Caenorhabditis elegans: one gene and its partner. The protein of the gene in region 1 purifies or fractionates together with the protein of each later gene. This does not show direct contact. Each region holds a gene or a part of one and is shown on either strand. Other genes may lie near its edges.

Region 1 (7,111 bases):
CGAAAAGAACCTGTTTTTTCAATGGTCAATATTATAAGGAGGGGGAAAGACAACACAAATATCATGTCGTACATGATCCCTCGAGCATAGAGAAAAGAGCACTCCAAACATGAAACACGCAAAAAATATTCTTTGATTGAGGAAGGTTTCGATGAAATTAAGAAATATTTTTTAAAAAGTTTTTCAAGCCTTATGTCCAAAAAAACTTTTTTTGGAATTCTTTTCACAATCAAAACATTTTAAATTTACAAAATATTACCCACAAAATTTCCTGCAACTTGTCAGTTGACAACTTTTTCACACCTATCATCTAAAAATAGTTATAACCCACCAAAGCTAGCCTCTTCTGAAATTACAGGGCAAGTCATCTGACTGGCCATTCTCTCAAATCTCGTTGGAAGCGTTCGAGTTGGAGTTGTTTCAGTATGTGATAGTATTTCCTGAAATTAGTAAATTTTGAAACATTTTAAAAATGTGACTTTTTTTTTCTGAATTTTCTGGCCAAAGCTTCACTCACCCTCAAATCATCCATGGAATCCCCTGCTTCGCAAATACTATCCAATTCTATAGAATCTGGCCGTGTCATCTGAAATATCGTGCTGAAAATTAGGGTTTCCATGGGAGGCAGGCGCGGTTTCAGGGCCTGTTGCCTGCCTTCAACATGCCTGCCTCATGCCGGTCTCTCGCCTACACTATGGCGACAAGCCGCGGCCGACACTTCTTGGGTTCCGCGCCACACTATACAGGAGGCGCGAGGAAGGCACGGCAGGCGTTTTGGTAGGCGTTTTTACATAGAAGCCCTACTGAAAAGATTCAAAAAATTAAGAAAAAAGTGTCACCGAACAACAAAACTAAAATAAATGAATTGATTGCTCAATGAGCAAAGTGCCAATAGGTAATTGATATATTGATAGTGTTTGCACAAGTACTACCCCTCGAATCTGCCAAAATGTGTGTCACAAAAAAGAGCACAATAGATGAGAAAAGAGCAAAGTTCGGGGGTAGGCATGTAGGCATGTAGGCATGCAAACATGTATGCATGTAGGCATGTAGACATGTAGGAATGAAGGCATGTAGGCATGTAGGCATGAAGGCATGCAAACATGTATGCATATAGGCATGTAGGCATGTAGGCATGTAGGCATGTAGGCATGTAGGCATGTAGGCATGTGGGCATGTAGGCATGTTGGCAAGTAGGCATGTAGGCATGTAGGCATGTGGTCATGTAGGCATGTAGGCATGTAGGCATGAAGGAATGCAAACATGTATGCATATAGGCATGTAGGCATGTAGGCATGTAGGCATGTAGGCATGTAGGCATGTAGGCATGTAGGCATGTAGACATGTAGGCATGTAGGCATGTAGGCATGTAGGCATGTAGGCATGTAGGCATGTAGGCATGTAGGCATGTAGGCATGTGGGCATGTAGGCATGTTGGCAAGTAGGCATGTAGGCATGTAGGCATGTGGGCATGTAGGCATGAAGGCATGTAGGCACCTACGTACCTACGCACCTAGGAACCTAGACGGTTTTTTCTCAAAAAAAAAACAAAACCAGTTGCAAGAACGGCCATAAATATAGTGACACCTCGGCGGGCCCTGAGCAAATATTGGCTCAAAAGATTACTCACTCTTTGGATACACCTCTTGATAACGATATTTTAAGTTTTGTTTTATATATCTCAAAAAAAAAGAAATCAAATAACAACAGAATGATTGGATATCGATCTTGAAGTGATAACAGATTGAGCTTGAGCATCGGAAATTGATAACCTCTCGTTTTTCCGTTCCCGTCGCTTTTTTTGCTCGGTGGGAGCATTCCAGTCGGCGTTGAGCTGTGAGAAATAGATTGTCGTGTGCTCCGCGTCTTCCACGTTGCAGTTCTTGCCAAAAGTGTCTTTGACTTTTGTGGGTGGCCGTTTGCGACCAGTCTGGTCGGCTCCGATTCGATTGGCCGGGCATAGGCAGCAGCAGAACTGGAAAAGTGTAAATTATGTAGAGCTACAGTACACCTACAGTACTCCTTTAGTACCAATACAAGGATCTTAAAGTACCCCTATAGCTACCTTACAGTACAAGAGCGGTAAATCATCCCTGTTGTACTTCTACAGTACCCCTACAGTACCCATACAATACCCCTACAGTACCTCTACAGTACCTCAACAATATCTCTACAGTACACGTGCATTACTTTCAAGGGACTCCTTATGTACTCCAATAGTACCCGACAGTGTCCCTTCAGTACCCCTACAAAACCACAACAGTACCCCTACAATACAATCACGGGACTCTGACAGTACCCCAAGAGAAATCGACAGTACCACTATAGTACCCTTAACAGTATCCCTACAGTACCCCTACAGTACTTACCTTTCCTCCCAATCGTCTCAACTCCTTCTGCCACAGCGGATTGTAGGCCAGCATGAAGAATGGTACCAAAGTACCATACGACCAGCAGCTAAAATTGAAAGCCATATAAACCCAATTTCGTATCGTCTGCGACTCGGTCCACTCGTCCACGTGGAGCATAGAAGTGCACAGCGAGGCAAAAAAGGCGATCGAGAAGCACATCACTTTGAACGGCTGGAAAATTTACAAATTTGGGGGCAATTGGGGGAGGCAGGCGAGGCAGGCAAGGCGGAAAAAATTTATGTACAACTCACCAGAGTACTATTGATATTCTCCGATAATTGTGCTCTCACACTCAACGAATAGTCGGAATTTACATTTTTCCGCAATTTCGAGTACCTCTTCTTGTTGTATCGCTCCATGACAAATGTTAACTGAAAATCACCAATTTTTTACAAAAAAAATGCAGTTAAAAATATACCCCAAAAGCGATCAAATTGAAGCCGGTAATCAGAAAAATGTGAATTTCGCGATTTGAAGACCCAAAGATGAAAAATTGCGCGGAGGTTATCGCGAAAATGTATAAAATTGTACTCAAAAGATACGATATCCATCGCCGTTTATTTGTTTCATAGTCCTGAAACAAAGGTGATAAGAGCACTTTTTGGGTTAAAAAACACTCACGTGCATGTACAAAGTTGCAAAACATCGTTCTATAACTGGAAACGGAGCAAAATAAAATGCCACAAAAAGTAGAGAATTTCGGAGCCAAACTGCGAAAAGGAAGCCCTGGTCTTCGATTAGATCAGCTGAAATTTGTTCTTTTAATTGCCATAACTTTGTTGTGATTGAAGATATCAGAGTGCTATTAATTACAACATATAGAGAATTCAATTTGCTACATTTATTCAGTTAGTAACTTTTTGATATCTATTTTAGTTTTTGAGATAATCCAGTTTCAATATTTTAGTCTCTCACCATAATTATTAAGTGGGTACACTTCTAAAAACCCCGGTATTTCAAGAACAGTGTGAAGTATAAAAAAGGTGTCAACGTATAAAATATAAATAGCTTTATTTGCTAGATTTTATTAATTGACAATTTTCTGCTGACTGCAAAATTCAAATAGTTAGAATTGTTTAACGTCAAAAAAAATTTTCTCTTTTTTTCGAATTTATCCCAAAAACTACATGATACTATCAAAAAACTAGTATTATCAAAATATAGAAAACCAATTTGATATAATTTATTAGTTGACAATTTAGGCCTACTACACTAGTTTTTGAGGTAATTAGTTTCAATATTTCAATTTTTTTTTCGAAATTATTTTGGAGCAGATTACTTTTGTAAAACTCAGATATCTCAAGAAACATGTGAGCTATCAAAAAGTTGTTCACTGATAAAACATAGAAAATTAAATTTCTCACATTGTGCTAGTAGACAACTTTTTGCTACCTGCTAAATTTAAAAAGTTAGAATTGTTTGAAAAGTTAGAATTGTTTGTAAACAAAGTTAGAATTGTTTGAAAGTTAGAATTATTCAATTTTTTTTTCAATTTTTTGAAATCCAATTTTTCAACTCTTCTCAACTAATTAAAATGCTATTTTTCAACTTTCCCATACCCAAAATTTGTGAAAAATTCCTTTAATTTTTTATCAAACCATACCTGTATTAGAAATCGTCAACTGTTTATATATCATGTACATTCTTGCCAGTAGTGACGGGAAATATTGATTGGGGAGTTGCTCGACGATCATCGCCAAGTTCCGATGGTACTGGTTAGTATATCGGAGCAAATACCAAAGAAGCATAGTTTCCCCGAAGCCTATACTGATAAGGATCCACTCGAAAATCAATGCGGCTCGGAATATTGCATCGGTTTGCTCTATTGCAGCTGTTGTCATATTCATTACTGTTAGTTTATACATAGAGCCGGGGTTCAGGAGGTACATTTTGGTAAATCTGAAAAATGTTGATAATTTTGATGAATTTAGGCTCGGCATGCCTGCCTGCGTGCCTACATGGCTGCCTACTACCGGCACGATTTTTTGAGAACGAAAATTATAGTTGGGATATTACGATTTAGGGGGAAAATATATGTACAAAAATTTATAAAATTTTGAAGATCAGAAATACAGAAAAAGAACAACTTTGGAGCATATGTTTTTTAAATATTTGGCGGAAAAATCGAATTTCAGCTTTTTTTTTCAAATTTTTCGATAGAAAAATGCATTTTTAACATTTTTTAAATTTCGGTGAGAAATTTAATATTTAAAAAATTAAGGTAGTAGTGGAAAAATGGTTTTAAATTTATTTAAACATTTTACTCTAGCCCGAATTAAAATGAAAAATTTTCGAAATTTTTTGAAAATTATAAATTAAAAATATATTTCTTTATAATGTTTGCTAAAAATTCAAATGTTAATTTTTAAAAAAATACGTTGGTCTTTTTTCAGTTTTTAATTAAATTATAGTGGGAATATTTTATTTAAAACAAATTTTTAAAAAATCCACTGAGAAACTTATGAAATTATGAAGCATGCCTCCGAAAGAAAAACCGAAACAGAAACCCTCAGTAGAATTTGGAGAAGTATATAGAAGTATACGGTGGGTACACTATCGAGAACAAAAAATTGTGGTTTTGATATTAAAACGTACCGAAAAAATAGTACAACATTTTGAGGATTCTGATCGTACAAAATTACGACATAGAAGCTAAGAATTCAGAATTCAAAATGAGCAAAGCCCAGTGAAGACGGGCAAAAGCAAAAAATGGCAAAATAGATAGCAATCAATTAAAAAAAATTGAAAATATCTTTGCAAGGTGTCCATTTTGGCTGTGGGAAAACTAGTATGAAAATGTCTGAAAAATATGCGTGGGCTTGTGATCCAAATTTACCAAAGAACATTCTCTTTTCAAATGTTTCTTGTTCTAATCAAAATTCTGAGACACTAATTCCTGCAGGTGGCCGAAATTCCTAAGATCAAATCATAAATACATGCTTTGTATCAATCAGAAATTAATTGTATATATTTGCGAAAATTGATATTGGAAAAAAAAAAACAACCTGCGTAATCTTTTTGATGTGTATTCTCTATGCAGGGTTTGCCAATTTTTAAAAATATATGTGTAAAAATGTTGAAAAAAATTTTGAAAAAAATATTGAAATTTTACTTTCCAGAAAAATAAATTTTAAATAATCTGTTTTCAATTTTGCTGGAAATTAAAAAATTGTTGAAAAATTGTTACTGACATTTCAATTTCTCAAAAGTTAGCTGAAAATTTTAAAACATTTTAGCGGAAACTTCAAATTTTAATTTAAATTTTTTTACAGAAAATTCAAATTTTGCATTTTTTCCAGCTGGAAATTCAAATTTTTAATTTTAATTTTGGCGGGACATTCAAAGTTTAACTTTTCAACAAAAAATTTTGATCGAACCTCATTTAAATACATTTATTATCTTTTAAAATGTTAGGAAACTTCAAAGAAATTTTTTTGAAATTTCCCTTTTAAAAAAAATTCTGTTGAAAATTTGAGTTTAATTTTTTTCAACATTTCAGTGGGAAATTCAACTTCTAATTTTTCTGGTTTTTCAATATCGAAAAATAGAAACAATTAAAAAGTTTTCACAAAAAAACACGTATTTTATTACTTTTTCGTTTAAAAAACTTTCCAAAACTAACCACATGTTGTAAAACATGTACAATAATAATAAAAATATTATTCCAATTAATTCGAAGACTTGCTTTTTCTCCGAACACCGACTTCCTATCAAAACAACTGCCACCTCCTCCTATCTACCCACGAAAAATAATTCCCACCGCCGCTAAATGTACAATATTTTTTTATTTTTCACAAAGAAAAAAACTAATAAATCAAAACCCAATAAGATCACTAACCCGAAGAAAAACATCTTGAAAAAAAACCGATAAACATTGCATTGAAAAGACGTTTCACATTTTCTAAAGAAGCTTTGAATTCTAATCTGATTAGAGACACATCTATTTTTCTATGAACACTAATTATATGGTGAATAATTCAAAAAAAATATAGGTTAAGCTCGGGTAAAAGGGAAAATGATACTTTTGAACCCATAAAAACAATGCTCCGAAATTGAGCCGCTTATTCCGCCGTTTAGCGGGGGAAATTTTAATTTTAAAATCCAGAAATTAAAAACAAGCTCAGTCCATTTAATGGTCCTTTTTGTTTTTTTTTCGCTAAAATTACTAAGAAAGGCATATCAAAAAAACAAAAACTATAAAATACACCACAAATTTATCAGTAAAATGTCCGGGTACAACACTTGGCGGTTAACATTTCCGGTGATCAGGTCTACCAAAGAAAAAAAAACTAATAACCAAGTCTGGTGATTGGCAGGAAAAAGGGTAAGAACTAGAAAAATAAGGTTGAGCTATGGAACTTGACTTATTCCTGAAAGATTCTTTTCCTCTGAAAATGAAGAAAAAAAGCAGACAAAAATTGCCAGTTTATGGGCGGGGCCGGATTAGAAATTAAAACATTTTTCCACGCTTTATTCAAGAAAAATGTTATATGAAAAACATTTTTTGCGAGAAACTTAAATTTTCAGGAATAAGAATTTTGCGAAAAATTCAAAATTACCGAGAAAACTTTTGGCGGGAAATTCAAATTTTCTGAGAGAAAAAATATTGGCGGGAAATTCAAGTTGCCTGTGAAAAAAAATTTGGCGAGAAACTTATACTTTCAGAAATAAAAATTTCAACGGGCAATTCAAATGTTCTG
Region 2 (5,697 bases), on another chromosome or scaffold:
CGACTTTCCATTTTATCAACTTCACTATTTCTGTGAAAAAAATTCGAAATTTCGTTCAAAAATAGCGATTCTAGCTCAATTTCATGAATATCTGTTGAAAGCGGCGGCGAGGCAAGGTGGTCGTCCGCAAACGCGCAAACAAAAAGCGAGAGAGTGTGCGCATTTCTCGTGCGGGAGGCCGTGATCCCCCCAATTGGACATCCCCCGAGTTCTTCGGGTCTCGATCCACAAGCTCAAACAAAAATTACTTCCGCAATTTCGCGTCAATTGTGATGCTTGCGTACCTTTTCTCCATTTCGAAACTGCCGCCGCAAACGTTTCCTCTCTCTCGCCGTTTTCCCATTCTATTTTCATTTTCAACCGCTATAGTTCATTCAGATTCGAGAGCGTCGAGACAACAAAATATCCTGTTTGAATTGGCGCTCGTCGACAACCTGCACATCACTGTTGGTCGCTGACGTCACCCCTCCCGCTGCGGCGTATATATACTCAGTCGATCGTCGCTGCTTGCTGCCAGATTGGTGAGTCGAATTTTCGCTCTCTTCGAGTGTGTCTTTCTGTGATCAGAGGGCCCCGTGTGTGGTATAAAACATGAAAATTGTAATGAAATGCGTGTTGAAAATGTGAAAAATTGGAAAAAAACATTTTTTTTTTGAAGAAGGTATGTAAAATCGATTATGAGTCATATTTTTTGCAATTTCACCATATAATAATAATTTCTTCAAAAAATCGTCTACGCAAATTTAAGAACGTAACGTCACGTTGGAAAATCGATTTTTCTCAATTTTTTTTTTCATTTTGACTAGCCCGCTTCGAGAAACCTGTTTCTTGCCACTCTTAATGGGGGTTTTTATGAAATGAACATGGTTGGAAGTGTCGCAGACGAAAAATCTCGGAAAAGTTTATCTATTCATTTTTTTTAAAACAGGAACGACAAACGTCCAACATGGCACACGGCAATGGAATCGCCGAGCTGTACAAGTCGGTTATGGCCGATGTTATCGCCAATATGAAAGAAGCGTTTCTCGATGAGAACATCGACGTCGACGTTTTATCTCAACTCAGGAAAGAATGGGAGGATAAAGTGAATTCGAGTGGATGTGTCGACTTGGAGAGCAATGCACCACCACCGGCACCACGCCAACAGCATCACGTACCGCCGAGTGCCGTTCGTCCGAATCCGATGCCTCCACAGAGACCCGTTGCTCAGCAGCCAGTGAGAGCTTTGTCGGCTCTTCACGCAGCACACATTGGAGATGCTCCGATTCGAATGGCGTACACTGGCCAGCCAACGGTTATTTAATTTAATTATTGTTTTTTTTTAAATGCGACTAATACTCCAGCAGGACAAATTTCCAAATTTCGTAACGAAACTGCTCAAAAAATTGACTAATTTCTGCAAAAATCTCGAATTTTGGCCACTTTTTCCCTGTCACATCGGTCCGAAATTGATTTTTTTTTGAAATTATCATCCTTCATTGCAGATTTGGGTGGTTTATCTCATGTAATTTCGCCAATTAAAGTACATTTAAAGCCGATAGGTAACCGACAGGCTTTAAATGTACCTTAATCGATGAAATTAAATGATAGGGATGATAATTCCAAAAAATTCAATTTCAGACAGATGTGACACGGAAAAAGGGAAAAATTCGAGATTTTAGCTGAAATCAGTGCAATTTTTCAAAAATTTCGCAGTTTCATTATGAAATTCGTTTTTTTTAGCCCATTTTGGGTCTATACATTCAAAATCGTCAAGAATCTTGCACGACTCCTACGTAAACCACAAAACTAAACCATCGTTTTTCAGCAACATCCATCTCAAGTTCGCATGTTCAATCCACAATTTCAAGGTGGAATTCACTTTCAACCGGGACAAGTGTTCGTTGTGCAGCAACCAAATGGTCAGAATATTCCAATGTCGATTATGCCGAATCAGATTCCACAGCATCGAATTATTCATCAAGGACAGCCACAACAGGCTCAGCAGCAGCAGCCTCAACAGGGCAATCAACTTACCCATATGAATCAAATGGACGGAAATGTGGGATCCGAATCAGACGGAGAAGGACCTAGTGGACCTGTAAAACTTGCTCCAAAAAAGACAAAGTGCTCATTGAGAGTCCGTGGAAGTGGAGCAAGTGAGAAGAAAGCGATGAAAGTCTTGGGATCACTATTGAAAGACTTTCAACTCGACGGAGGTGGCGGTGGAATGTCTGATTCTTCCAGTGAAGATGAGCCTGACGATGATGATGATCCACTTCGAAGAATCGCTGATCGCATGGGAAATGGTGAAGTTGAAGATGGAGATCAAGTGGCAGAAGAGGAACCATTGAATTCTGAAGATGATCAATCAGACGATGAAGATTTGACGATGCTATTCGAGGCGGACAATGTTGTCATGTGCCAGTTCGAGAAGGTTAATTCTATTTATTTTATAAGTTAAATTGTCGAATCTTGCAATTTTCAGGTGAATCGTGCCCGTACCAAGTGGAAGTTCCAGCTCAAGGATGGAATTATGCACATCGACAAAAAGGATTACTGCTTCCAGAAGTGTACCGGAGAAGCTGAATGGTGATTCGATCACCGATTTACAACATCTTTAACATTATTATCATTATTATTTCCAAATAATTATTCCCCCATTCTCATGTCCCCGCTAGTCCAGGATCCAATGAACAATATGCCTGAAGTGTAGTCTCATGCACTGTGATTTCCGCCCTTCCGCCCCGTTTTCATCAATTTTCCTTCATCATCAGTGATTCCCGATTCTTACATCATTTCTGTCTTAAAACTTCTTCCTTAAACCAAGGTCTGTAACATTGAATTTTACGATAATTCTCTTTGCAATATTCTCTATTTGTTTGCCGTTTATCTTTTTTTTAAAGTTCATCAACTTCATTCGTAGAATTCATCTATAAAATGTACCCCACCAATTCCTCTCCAGTTTTAGTACTTATTTATGAATGGATGAAGTTTTCAGATCTATACTTATATTGTATTCAATTGGTTTTCAAATTTTCAATATTTTTTAGGTTCAATTCCAGATGGACTTGCTGCCGGGTTTTCGAGAAGAAATTCTCAGAAAATTTATCGGTGAAGGTGGAAAAATCGTAACAACGAAGCATCTGGAACGATTTCAACTTCTAATCACGGCGATTTCAAGGTACTCACTGAAAATTAAAAACAAAAAAGGAATAAAAATATATTCTAAGAGATGGAAAGCTTATCCGAGGAGTTTTGGATCAAAAATCGAGATTCAATCGAGAATTGATGAATCGTGAGAAATACGAAACACCTTATATCGTCGAATTGCCCGGAGACCATCCAGCTGATACAGAACATGTTAGATATAGTGTTTCTTTGGTAAGAATTGGATTTAATTCTGAAAATAAATGGAAAAAATTGAATCTTAAGTGATTTTTTAATTTCTGGCAAATCAGCAAATTGCCGAAATTGAAATTTTCGGCAAATCGGCGAATTGCCGGAATTGAAATTTCCGGCAAATCAGCAAATTGCCGAAATTGAATTTTCCTCCAAACCCGGCAATTTGCCAGAATTGAACATTTTCGGCAAATAGGCAAATTGCCAGAATTGAAAACTTCTGGCCAATTGGCAATTTTCCGAATTTGCCGAACGGCAATTGCCGCCCACCAATGAATTTGGCCATAGTGGCCCCCATATTTTGAAAATATTTATATTTTAACTTTATTTTTCATTTCAGCCGCGCACAAAACGAGTAATTGCACTTCGCTATGAAAAGGAAACACCTTCAACATCTTCTGAAACAAAAACGAAGCGAATCCGGACGGCTGCTCAACTTTTAGGAGATACTGAAGATTATTGTTGTAGGGTTAGTTTTTTTGTAATTTTCCAAAATTAATATGCCAAATATATTTCAGACTTGTTTCAAACGTTTCTCTCGGAAATTCAATTTGGAACGCCACGAGGACGGGTGTTTGCCGAAGCCAATTCTTTTCCAATGCCCAATTTGTCATCAAAAGTATAAAAGAGCTCCATATTTTGCGGTAAGCATCGAATATTCTTGGTTCAACGGAAAAATTTAAATATATTTTTTTTCAGGCTCATATTCGGCAACACGAAGCTGAAGAGAAACGACAACATCGTGACGTCAAACGTCTTGCAATTGAGCATGGAAATATGGACGAAATACGACGAAAAGCTGAAGAATCTGTGAATAAACTGTCGATTCCTTATGAATTCGGAACTTTTTTATAGAATTCGAATAAAAATTTGGAATATTTAATGCTGATGTTTCCAATTTCACAACAACAAAACACGATCGTTAAAATTATTCATTTGTCGCTTAGAAACCAGCGGATCGTCGCCTAGAGACTGGCAGCCCATCGGCATTTTTCTTCCAGAATGCCTTCACTTTAAAAAAATTTCCAATGAGAAATTTGGTTTTCTCATTGGTGTTTCTAATATTTAATCTAGTGAATAATATCAATAAAGTCAACTCGCAATGTACTTCGGACACAATTCGTGAGAAATTCTATAATAAACGTCACACTGTCGCATTACGGTTTGATCTACAAAAAAATGCAGGAATTTTTTGCACAAAAATATGTGACGTCAGCACGTTATTAGCCATACGAAATCAGCTCCCGCGTTTTTTGTAGATCTATGTAGATCATACCGAGATGGAGCACTCTGACACCACTTGAAACTTTACTCACTGATTCTATTTCAGCAAGCTCATTGGCAACGTTGACTCAGTATCAAGTAGGATCTGAAGGAGATCGTAAGAACAAATATTTGATTGAACAGAAAATCAAGTTATCTTGATAAGTTTCAGCGTATTACAGTCATTTTTTGGTCAATGGTGGTGCATCTTTCTCGTATGGAAATGCTTCAGCTACTGCTTTATATGAATTGGTTAGGAATATTAAATAATTTTAATTGTTAAATTAAAAAAAAAAGTTCTAGAGTGCTTATGCGATATCAGCTGCTACAACCAATTGCACATCTACATGTCTTACATCTGTTTCAGCTTATTACAAGACGGATTCTGACAAATGTATGTCCAATTTTTGAGAAAGAAAATACGGTACCCGGTCTCGAGGCGACAAGTTTGTGTTACATGAGAAAAATTTATCGAAAACAAATAAAAAATCAATGAAAATTCTGCAGCTTCGAGATATCGGTCGAGTGTTCGAAAATACAGTAATATTTAAAGACGCGCATTTTTCTGCACTTTTATATCCCTCAAAAGGGATATCTTACGTGGTGTCAGGCTGTCCCATGAAAGACGTAATCTACAAAAAATGCGGGAATTTTTACCCAAAAAATGTGACGTCACTACGCTCTTAACCATGCAAAATTAGTTGAGAACTCTGCGTCTAAATTCCCGCGATTCTCGTAGATCTACGTAGATCAAACCGAAATGGAACACTCTGACACCACGTGACATCAACTTTGACAGCTTTTATCTTGTGTCTCCTAAGTTTTATCAAAAATAGGCCAACTGACAAAAAACGTGCAAAACATTTTTCTACATTTTCACAGTTGAATATTTTTTGGTAGAACTTAAGGCAGCCGAGATATCAGCCGTAAAAGTAGAGCAGTACAGAAATGCTACAAGATAGGCGCGCCTGGTAGGCCCGCAATCAAGGGGCACCTCATTTTTAATTTCATCCCATTTTTCAGTGACTCTAATCATGCTCCGGCCATCGGATG

The links.
Region 2: the proteins of sre-5 (region 1) and K11D12.12 fractionate together in Caenorhabditis elegans (co-fractionation; one large-scale study listed by BioGRID). This does not show direct contact.

What each region holds. Positions count from the first base shown.
Region 1 is NC_003282.8:3,562,400-3,569,510, reverse strand, and holds sre-5 (Serpentine Receptor, class E (epsilon)), read right to left. Parts: upstream 4,311-7,111; 5' UTR 4,301-4,310; coding exon 4,015-4,300; intron 3,158-4,014; coding exon 3,033-3,157; intron 2,986-3,032; coding exon 2,830-2,985; intron 2,783-2,829; coding exon 2,663-2,782; intron 2,583-2,662; coding exon 2,370-2,582; intron 1,976-2,369; coding exon 1,697-1,975; 3' UTR 1,657-1,696; downstream 1-1,656. Other genes in the region: otpl-1 (Otopetrin-2), read right to left, coding at 332-440, 518-532.
Region 2 is NC_003283.11:5,049,229-5,054,925, forward strand, and holds K11D12.12 (C2H2-type domain-containing protein), read left to right. Parts: upstream 1-3,032; 5' UTR 3,033-3,044; coding exon 3,045-3,163; intron 3,164-3,212; coding exon 3,213-3,363; intron 3,364-3,721; coding exon 3,722-3,850; intron 3,851-3,899; coding exon 3,900-4,025; intron 4,026-4,080; coding exon 4,081-4,236; 3' UTR 4,237-4,262; downstream 4,263-5,697. Other genes in the region: pqn-51 (Prion-like-(Q/N-rich)-domain-bearing protein), read left to right, coding at 947-1,294, 1,808-2,416, 2,468-2,575; cwp-4 (Coexpressed With Polycystins), read left to right, coding at 4,410-4,503, 4,712-4,762, 4,817-4,896, 4,948-5,038, 5,668-5,697.